2 linked regions of the Cricetulus griseus genome follow. The main gene of each other region encodes a partner of the protein of the gene in region 2 in a complex. Links are inferred from orthologs where the notes say so. Each region holds a gene or a part of one and is shown on either strand. Other genes may lie near its edges. The genes, in order: Bbip1 and Bbs4.

What was found.
Region 1: the proteins of Bbs4 (region 2) and Bbip1 are in contact, whole or in part, in a cryo-EM structure (PDB 6VBV), measured with the Bos taurus proteins. The link is inferred for Cricetulus griseus from reciprocal best matches to the Homo sapiens genes BBS4 and BBIP1. Residues at the interface, in NP_001069424.1 of Bos taurus: Leu210, Leu213, Tyr236, Leu240, Ala241, Ser244, Gln247, Thr248, Ser269, Pro271, Asn274, Asn275, Met278, Phe281, Gly282, Lys284, Tyr298, Leu299, Pro301, Leu302, Asp303, Trp304, Lys305, Ile306, Tyr308, Asn309, Leu312, Leu315, Thr316, Gln318; in XP_003587939.1 of Bos taurus: Met7, Phe8, Arg9, Glu10, Val11, Leu12, Pro13, Lys14, Gln15, Gly16, Gln17, Leu18, Tyr19, Val20, Glu21, Asp22, Leu28, Lys30, Pro31.

What each region holds. Positions count from the first base shown.
Region 1 is NC_048596.1:7,613,001-7,617,374, reverse strand, and holds the start of Bbip1 (BBSome-interacting protein 1), read right to left. Parts: upstream 2,927-4,374; 5' UTR 2,771-2,926; intron 2,657-2,770; exon of another isoform or gene 2,446-2,656; intron 1-2,445.
Region 2 is NC_048597.1:170,886,779-170,890,589, reverse strand, and holds part of Bbs4 (Bardet-Biedl syndrome 4 protein), read left to right. Parts: intron 1-583; coding exon 584-695; intron 696-2,196; coding exon 2,197-2,269; intron 2,270-3,811.

The sequences.
Region 1 (4,374 bases), on a different chromosome or scaffold from region 2:
GTGTAGGGCAGGAGGGACCCATGAGCTTTGGATTCTTGAGAGTTTTCCTGTTGTGATTTTAAACTGAATCCCACAGTTCTCTATCCACCAGGCAGACAATGTTCTTAATGAACCAAGTGGAAAGGATAATCTTGATTTTGCAATTTTTAATAAGCAGTGTGATCATAGAAACAACAGGACCAATTAGATCTTTCGGAAGAATTTCAGGGAGAAAATAACATCACCTAAATTGGATTGTGGCCAGATGGACAGCAGTTGCTGTGGCATCTGCTGTGATAACATCAAGATTCATGCATTTGAATTACAGAGCTACACATCTTTCAACAGCTGTCTGCAGGGTGCCAGGACTTGAAACTCAAGAAACTATTCTGACATCAGTATATTTACTGTAGATGTCATTGCAAAGTAGCAACATTTATTAAAGGGAGACAGTCTTTATTGCCAGCTCAGGGTACTAGTAAATCCTCGATATACAGGGAAATTAAATGCCAAAGCCTCCGTGTGCTAAATGGGATGAACTTTGCTAATAACACATGGCAAGGGTACAGGCAGTTGCATTTGAGAACACAACTGGCAAAAGAATACTGTTAATGTAGTCATGTACAAGAATCATTTTTTAAACCATTTTTTCTTTATATGTTTGTCTCTCTATTTATTTTTGTTTTATGTGCATTGGTGTTGGGTCCCGGAACTGGAATTACAGAACTGGGTGCTGGGAACTGAACCCAGGTCCTCTGAAAGAGCAGCCAATGAGCCATCTCCCTAGCCCCAAGAAAGAATCTTAATCAAGCCTCTGGTCTGACTTTTAATTCACATGAAGTAAGGGAAGGGATCCTTTTTTAACAATACCTCTGGGTTGACCTTTCCAAATGTCAGTGTCACAGAGGGGAAGAAGATGGGGACAGTTCCAAAGTTAAAGAGTGGTAATGTCCATGTATAATTCAACACTTTTGGACAGGATTCTGAGTTGTATATTCTCTATTTTATGTTACAAAATTGCTATTTTTCTTGGTTGTAATGATACTGTATTTTAACGTTTCTCTATTTTGAAATTCTTAGGAAATTCATGTAGGAAATCTTAGGGGTGTGTGCCTAACAGGAGACCTAAAGCCTATTTTTAAATAGTAATAATGTATGAATGTGAGGAGGAAAGACATGGGGATATAGTAAAATGTTAACACTTGTACACAGGTAAACGGTGTATAACTGTACAGCCGCTGAGCTTTTTCTCTCCCTTACCCTCCATCCTTTTTTGAGATAGGATTTCACTATGTATCCTGGTGGCTTTGAACTTGAGATTTTCTTGCTTCAGCCTCCTGAGTGCATCACACCTAGCTCTTTTAGCTTTGTATTGTCTTCACATTTTCACAACAAAACATATGGGAGGGGCTTATGTTGTGAAGATTTCAGAGGGTAGACCTCAGAAAACACTGAAAACCAAGGACTGTGCTCAGTCTCTGGTACAGTGAAGAACAGTAAAACTGCTAGGAGCGTCTTAGACGTCCAGGACACAGCTAATGATGCAACATTTTGTCCTGGCACTATTATGTGCAGAGCAGGTGAGTCCCACACAGACCATTCTATTCAGGCATTAAGCATAGTCATGAAGTTAAAAATATGTGAGCAGCTGATACATTAGTGACTATTATAAGATATGCCCGAAGTGCTATATAAGCTTGGAGAAAACCACTTTCTGTTGGAGAGAATTTGGAAACACATCTCCAAGCACTACAGAATCATGGACACAAAATCAAAAAAGGTGACATCAGACTAAATAACCTCAGAAGAGGCAAGAGTACTTCATTTTTGCCTGGGACATAGGTAGAGAAGGTTAGGTATCGGCAATTCTTAATTTACCTAAAAATTGTTGTGTTTATTTATTTATTTATTTATTTAGTTTTAGGTATTCAATCTGTAAATACTAGAACAATTGACTTCTTGAGTCAAAAAGCCTACAGAAGGAGCTGCTTGAGATAATGTCTTGAAGGAGACACACGGAGCATTCTAAGTGTTCTTTAAAAGGGTATTCGCCAGCATTAAGTTGTTGGCTAAGCCACAGACACGCACGGCTGGGCTGCTTGCAGAAGGGGAGGCAGGACAGAAAATGACAAGGTGGAAAGTGACAGTTGGGGTGGAAGTGGACTCTCTTTGGTGCTGGAGTCTGCGGTCCCTGCAGGTCAGGGCCGGACTCGAAGGGAACTCGGGAGGCTGGTCAGGCGCTCGCCCGCTCGCCAGGCCGGCCGGGCAGGCGCGGGCCCGGCTCCCTCCCTCCCTCCTTCCCGCCCTCCCGGGGCGGCCTCCGGGCCAGCCCAGGCGCGGATCGGGCAGCCTCGCCCCACAGGGAGCCTCCGAGGGGCGGGGGAGGGCCGGCCACCGCCCCAGCCCCGGCGGCCGGAAAGAACACCCTCCGCCGGCGGAAGCGGCGCTGGCCCGCCGGTCTCCTCCGGGCGCTCTGCAGGCGGCTCGCCCGGCTCGGCTCGCCCGCCTCACCCCGCCCCGCCGCTCCAGAGCCCCGGCTCCGCACCCCCGCACCCCCGCATCCCCGGGGCGCAGGCCGGGGCGACGACGCCCACCTCCGGGCTATGCCCCTGTCAGGAAGTGCCAGGCGCAACTTCCGGCGCGAGGGAGTTTTGAAGCTCTAGAGTGCGTCCTCCAGGTAAGAGGTCCGGCGTCTCAGGCAGCGGCCCGGACACACCCTGCAGCTCCCGAGCCCGACGCAACCGTCTGCCGTGGACGGTCAGGGCGCCCCCGCCGCCCTAGGTGTACTTACCGGGTCCTTCCTGCCTGCCTGCCTTCCGTCCTTCCTCCCCAGACCGCTCCGCTGTTGCCCGGGGTAACGGGGACCGGATGCAGGAAACGCGCGCGCGTACGTCAAACGGGAGGCCGGAAACGCCTCCTGCGCCAGTATCAATTATGGCTGCCGGGACTTCGACTGTAACTTCCGACTGGGGGGGGGGCGTTGCCCCTCTAGCCGGCTGGAGGCCTTCTCTGTGGCGGAGCTAGCCAGCGGCGCCCAGTGGGCGGGAGACAGACCGCGCACAGCGGCGGAGGAGAGGAAGAGGGCGGGGGAGAGGGATGCTGGCACCAACGTCCCTCTCTGATTGGACGGCTGCGTCTGCCCTGGCTCCGCCCATCCACCGTGCCCAGCAAATGCCAGGCTGGCTCGGGCGGGCCGGGGCGGGGCGATCGGAGCCGGAGTGTGTGGAGGGGCGGGGCGAGTGGGGGAGGGGCGGGGGGCGGTGGCAGGGGCGAGCGTCGCTGTGGGAGCGGAGGACGAGGAGGAGGAGGAGGAGGAGGAGGAGGAGGAAGGAGGTGAGCGGGGATGATGGTGGAGTCCGGGCTCCAGACGGCAGCCCGGGGCGGCAGAGGCGGAGGGCGCCCTTGGGTCAGCGCTGTCGCCTTGCTGCCCGCCGGGCGGTGCGGACGGCCGGCCGGCTGTCGGTAGGGGGAGGCCCGGCTCGTCCTGACAGGCGCGAGCCTCCGGGGCCGGGCGAGGCCTGACGGCTCCGGGCCCGGGGAGGCGCCGCGGCCGCTTTCCGGGGCGCCACGGCCCGGGGCGCCGGGTCTCGCAGCCGCTGCCGCACGCGCCGGCCCGGGCGGGGCGCCGAGAGAGCGGCGGCCCCAGCGGGCGGCCTACGAGCGCGGCCGGGACAGCGCCGGAGCTCGGGCGCGGGCCCGGGCGGACGGTCAGTGGCTCGCTCGCTGGCGCGGGCTGCTCGGCTGCGGGCTGCTCGGCTGTGGGCTGCCGGGATCGCGGGACGGCGGGATCGCGGGGACGGGCGGAGGCGGGGGCGCGGCGGGCCGCGGGTGGGTGGGGCGTCTCCCCTGCGCCGCCGTCCGCTTCCCACCGGACCCTGCGCGCAGAGCGGCGGATGGCCTTGGGTGTGTGCGTGCGTGTGTGTGCGTGTGCGTGTGTGTGTGTGTGTGTGTGTGTGTGTGTGTGTGTGTGTGTGTGTGTGTGCGTGTGTGGCCGGGTGAAAGGAGTTGTGGCCGCCGCGACCGCCCTGTTGAACATGCCCGACGGCAGCCTCCGTGCTGCTCCGCGGGCTGGAGGAGGAAAGTAGTGTAACTCCCCGCCCCCAGCTCGCAGCGCCCGAGGCTGCCGGGCAGAACGATTTTCCCCAGCCCCTCGGTATCCATTGTTTTGTCCCGTCCCCTCCCCCATGCCTAGGTAGAAGAATAAGGACTCCCAGGCAGTCATTTGCCCGCCTCTCCCCCTTCCCGCCCCCCCCCCCATTCCCTTTCAGAGGGTTTGTGTGATGAGCTGTGCAAGTCGAGGTGTCCAAACAGGTGGAATGCACGTCACTATCTGGGAATTGCAAAGGAGACGCTTTTGGGCTCTTTTCCGTCTCATCTCACCTTTACACTTGGACA
Region 2 (3,811 bases):
GGAGGCCAGTAGAGAGAGCATTGGAGCCCTTGGAACTGGAGTTAGATGGTTGTGAGCCACCATGTGGATACTGGGAGAGTAGTATACTCTTAACAAATTGAATCACCTTCAACCTTCCAAAATAGTATTCCTATGAAGAATTTCTGTGATCTGCAAAAAGACCAGTTACCTAGTTATAGATGCTGGGGGCAGAGTGGGTAGGTGGAAGTTAGCTTATTACAGATTTTATCTTACTAACCCTTTACTTGCTTTTACCCATTTGGTAATGACTGGTTGGATTAAAAGGCTGGGCAGTGGTGGCACATGCCTTTAATCCCAGCACTCAGGAGGCAGAGGCAGGCGGATCTCTGTGAGTTCGAGGACAGCCTGGTCTCCAGAGCGAGTGCCAAGATAGGCTCCAAAGCTACACAGAGAAACCCTGTCTCGAAAAACCAAAAAAACAAAAACAAAAAAAATAAAAATAAAAGTTATCCAAAGGCTTTCTCTAATGTGTTATCTTATCTCCTCCTCCTCCAGTTTTTCTGATGCCAGCCTTTTCTTCCAAGAATATGGTTTATTTTCTGTATTTTCTTTTGCTTGGCAGCACTGATTTTCCGCCTGGAAGGAAATATCCAAGAATCCCTGGAACTCTTTCAGACATGTGCTGTTCTCAGCCCTCAGTGTGCTGATAATCTCAAGCAGGTGGCCAGATCTTTGTGAGTATTGGAGCAGTCACAGAAGACCACATAAAATCCTTACTCCTAGCTGGGTGGTAGTGGTGCTTACCTTTTATCCCAGCACTAACGAGACAGAGACAGGTGGATCTCTGTGAGTTTCAGGCCAGCCTCTTCTACAGAAATAGTTTTGGGGGGCAGGGAGCGGCACGGGTTTCTCCTGAGCCAGGCAATGGTAGCATACGCTTTAATTCTAGCACTCAGGAGACAGAGGCAGATGGATCTTTGAATTTGAAGCCAGCCTGGTCTACAGAGCAAGTTCCAGGACAGCAGGGCTACACAGAAAAACCCTGTCTTGGGGGAAAAAAAAAAAAAAGGCTGGGTGGTGATATCACAAGCTTTTAATCCTAGCACTTGGGAGGCAGAGGCAGGTGTATCTCTGTTAGTTCAAGGCCAGCCTGGTCTACTAAACTAGTTCCATGGCTACACAAAGAAACCCTGTCTTGAAAACAAAAAAGAAAGAAAGAGAAAAAATAAATGAATAAAAAGGCTTTCTCCTGAAATGCATTCTAGGGAGGGCCTGTTGCTGGCATCCAGATCCCTGATAAGTAGAAGGCTGGTGAATAGTAACTAGAGCAGACTTCAAAAAGAGCATGGATTAATCTGGAAGTCAGATAATATTAAGGAACTCAGATCTTTCTAGTTAGATGAGAACACTGTTTGTCATAGTGTGTTATACCATAATGCCTCTATAATCATATGGGCAACTCATAGCCTATTGTTCTGATATTTAGTAGAATATTTGACATATAATAAGCTTATGGTATTTTGAGTCTATGGCCTGCAAATTTCTAAGTGGAAACACTTCTGAAGTCTTCATCAACTTCTTCTGAGTGGCCTAGTGTCCATGCGGTGCTGTCTCCATGCTCTTCCCTCCATTGCCATTCATACTTGTATCATTTTTACATAAAAACTAGTTCTCTCTCTTTTTTCCTCCAAATTCATGATCAAGGAAAGAAACTTGAATTCAGGAGGAAAAGACATGCCGTTACTGGATGAGGTTGATAAATGATGGCAGTTCATGCTTAATGGCATGTCATTTGACTTTTTTTGTTTATTTTTATAGAATGTTATAGGAAGTAGTTACAGAAGAGTACCACCAACATTGGTATGTATGAGACTAAGGTCTTAGAACAACTGAGGATGCAAACCCTGTCTCCGGAGCTTCTGTTCTTGGGACATAGCACTGTCCCTTGCCTTTCCCATAAAACCAGCTCAAGTTCTTTAAAAAAAATTCAGCATTTTTTAAGACTGTGGAATATGAACTTGTAGAGTTAATCTTAAAGGAGTTTAGGTTTAGCTGGGTATGGCAGTACAAACCTGTAATCCTTGTACTTGAAGATGCTGCCATGAGGATCAGAAGTTCAAAGTCATCCTTGGTTACACAGTGAATTGGAGGCTTGCCTGAGTTACATGAGAACCTGCCTCAAAACAAACCAAAAATAATGAAATATGAATAATTGTAGGCAATATATTTTCACAGATTTCTTCTGGGAAAACATAAAGCCGCCACTGAAGTTTATAATGAAGCAGCCAAACTTAACCAGAAAGATTGGGTAAGAAATGCCATTTCTTTCTTAGCATGTTAATGGTTCCATTTATCAAGTGGCTTTTTCTTTGGAGCCAGGGTTTCATTATGTGTATAACCCTGGCTGGTCTCAGATTCATTATGTAGAGCAGGCTGGCCTCAAACTCAGACAGATCTGCCTGCCTTCTGCCTCCATAGTGACCAGCGCTTGGATAGATTCTTAGATGATCAAACTGTCTTCTTGATTTTTTTTTTCAGCATGGCATTTCTACATAACTTTGCAGGCATTGTTGTATAGCTTCCAGCTGTTAGTGTTGCTGATACTTCCTCACTGGTCTGGTTCTTGCTGTTATCCCATCTCATTTCCAAGAGCTTTAGGAGCTGAGTTGTTTTACCTTTGGAATTTGAAAGCATCAGCAGTAGATGTCTTCACTGCATTTTTTTGTATTTTCCCCCTATCTACCTGGCAATCAGTCAGCTGTTTCTTTTGCCTTTCTTTGGGTCATGATAATTTTAAGTGACTCTTTATTTTCCTTCCATCATCTTCCCTTTCTTATTAGTGTATATTAATTGTAAAAAAACAATGGTTTTCACTGTGACATTTTCATAGTTTGATCATAGTCACCTCCTGTATTTCCTTATTTCCATCATGTATTTATATAAGTTGGGGATTATGTACAATACAAAATCAGACTAAACATTCTCTTTACAAATTAATGGATCCCCCCCCCCACCCATGAAAATCCACATCACTGATTTTGGCATTCATTTGGTAGTCCTAGAATTTCAGGGCTGAGACTTACTCAAGGCTAGTTAAATGGTGACTGCTGTAGCTCAGAAGTATTAATTCTTAGATAAGGAGCTCCAAGAAGCAAGCAAGAGCAATCCCTGATAGAGCCTGTGTTTCAGCCGCAGCCTTTAAAAGGAAAGTACCATTTAAATCTTCAATTCAGCTGGCATAGGACTCCCTAGTAAAGTGTCTGTTGTACACTGATTGTCACTTCCTATCAGACACAGCAGCTCTGTGGCTTTTAACTTGCCTCTCGTTTTCTATTATTTTACTCTTTACACCCATTTTTACATCTTTGCATTTCTCAGTCTTATCTCCCAGATCACTGTTTTTGCTATTAGCTGTATATTTCTAGTAGCCTATCCTTTCTCTTAATTTCAGTAGTTGTATTCTGATTTCTAAGTAGTTTGTCTTCTCTCTCTTCCTCCCTCCCTCTCGTCTCTCCCCGTCCCTCAGTCTGTCCTTCCCTTCCTCCCTCCCTCCCTCTTATTTGTTTGTCTGTTTGAGACAGGGTCTCACTGTATAGTCCTGGCTGTCCTTGCACTTGCTCTGTAGGCCAGGCTGGCCTCAAACTCAAGAGTTCTGCCTGCTTCTGCTTCCTGAGTGCTGGGATTAAAGTTGTGCACCACCATGCCTGGCTTTTCTTTTCTGTCCCCACCCCCCTTCTCTTATAGCACCCTCTCCAAATCTTAGTCTTGAAGTTCTGTATGTTTCCCCAATTATCTTTCCCTTTCTGCTTTCCTTTTAGTTCTTTTTATACTGTTGACTGATTCTTGCAGA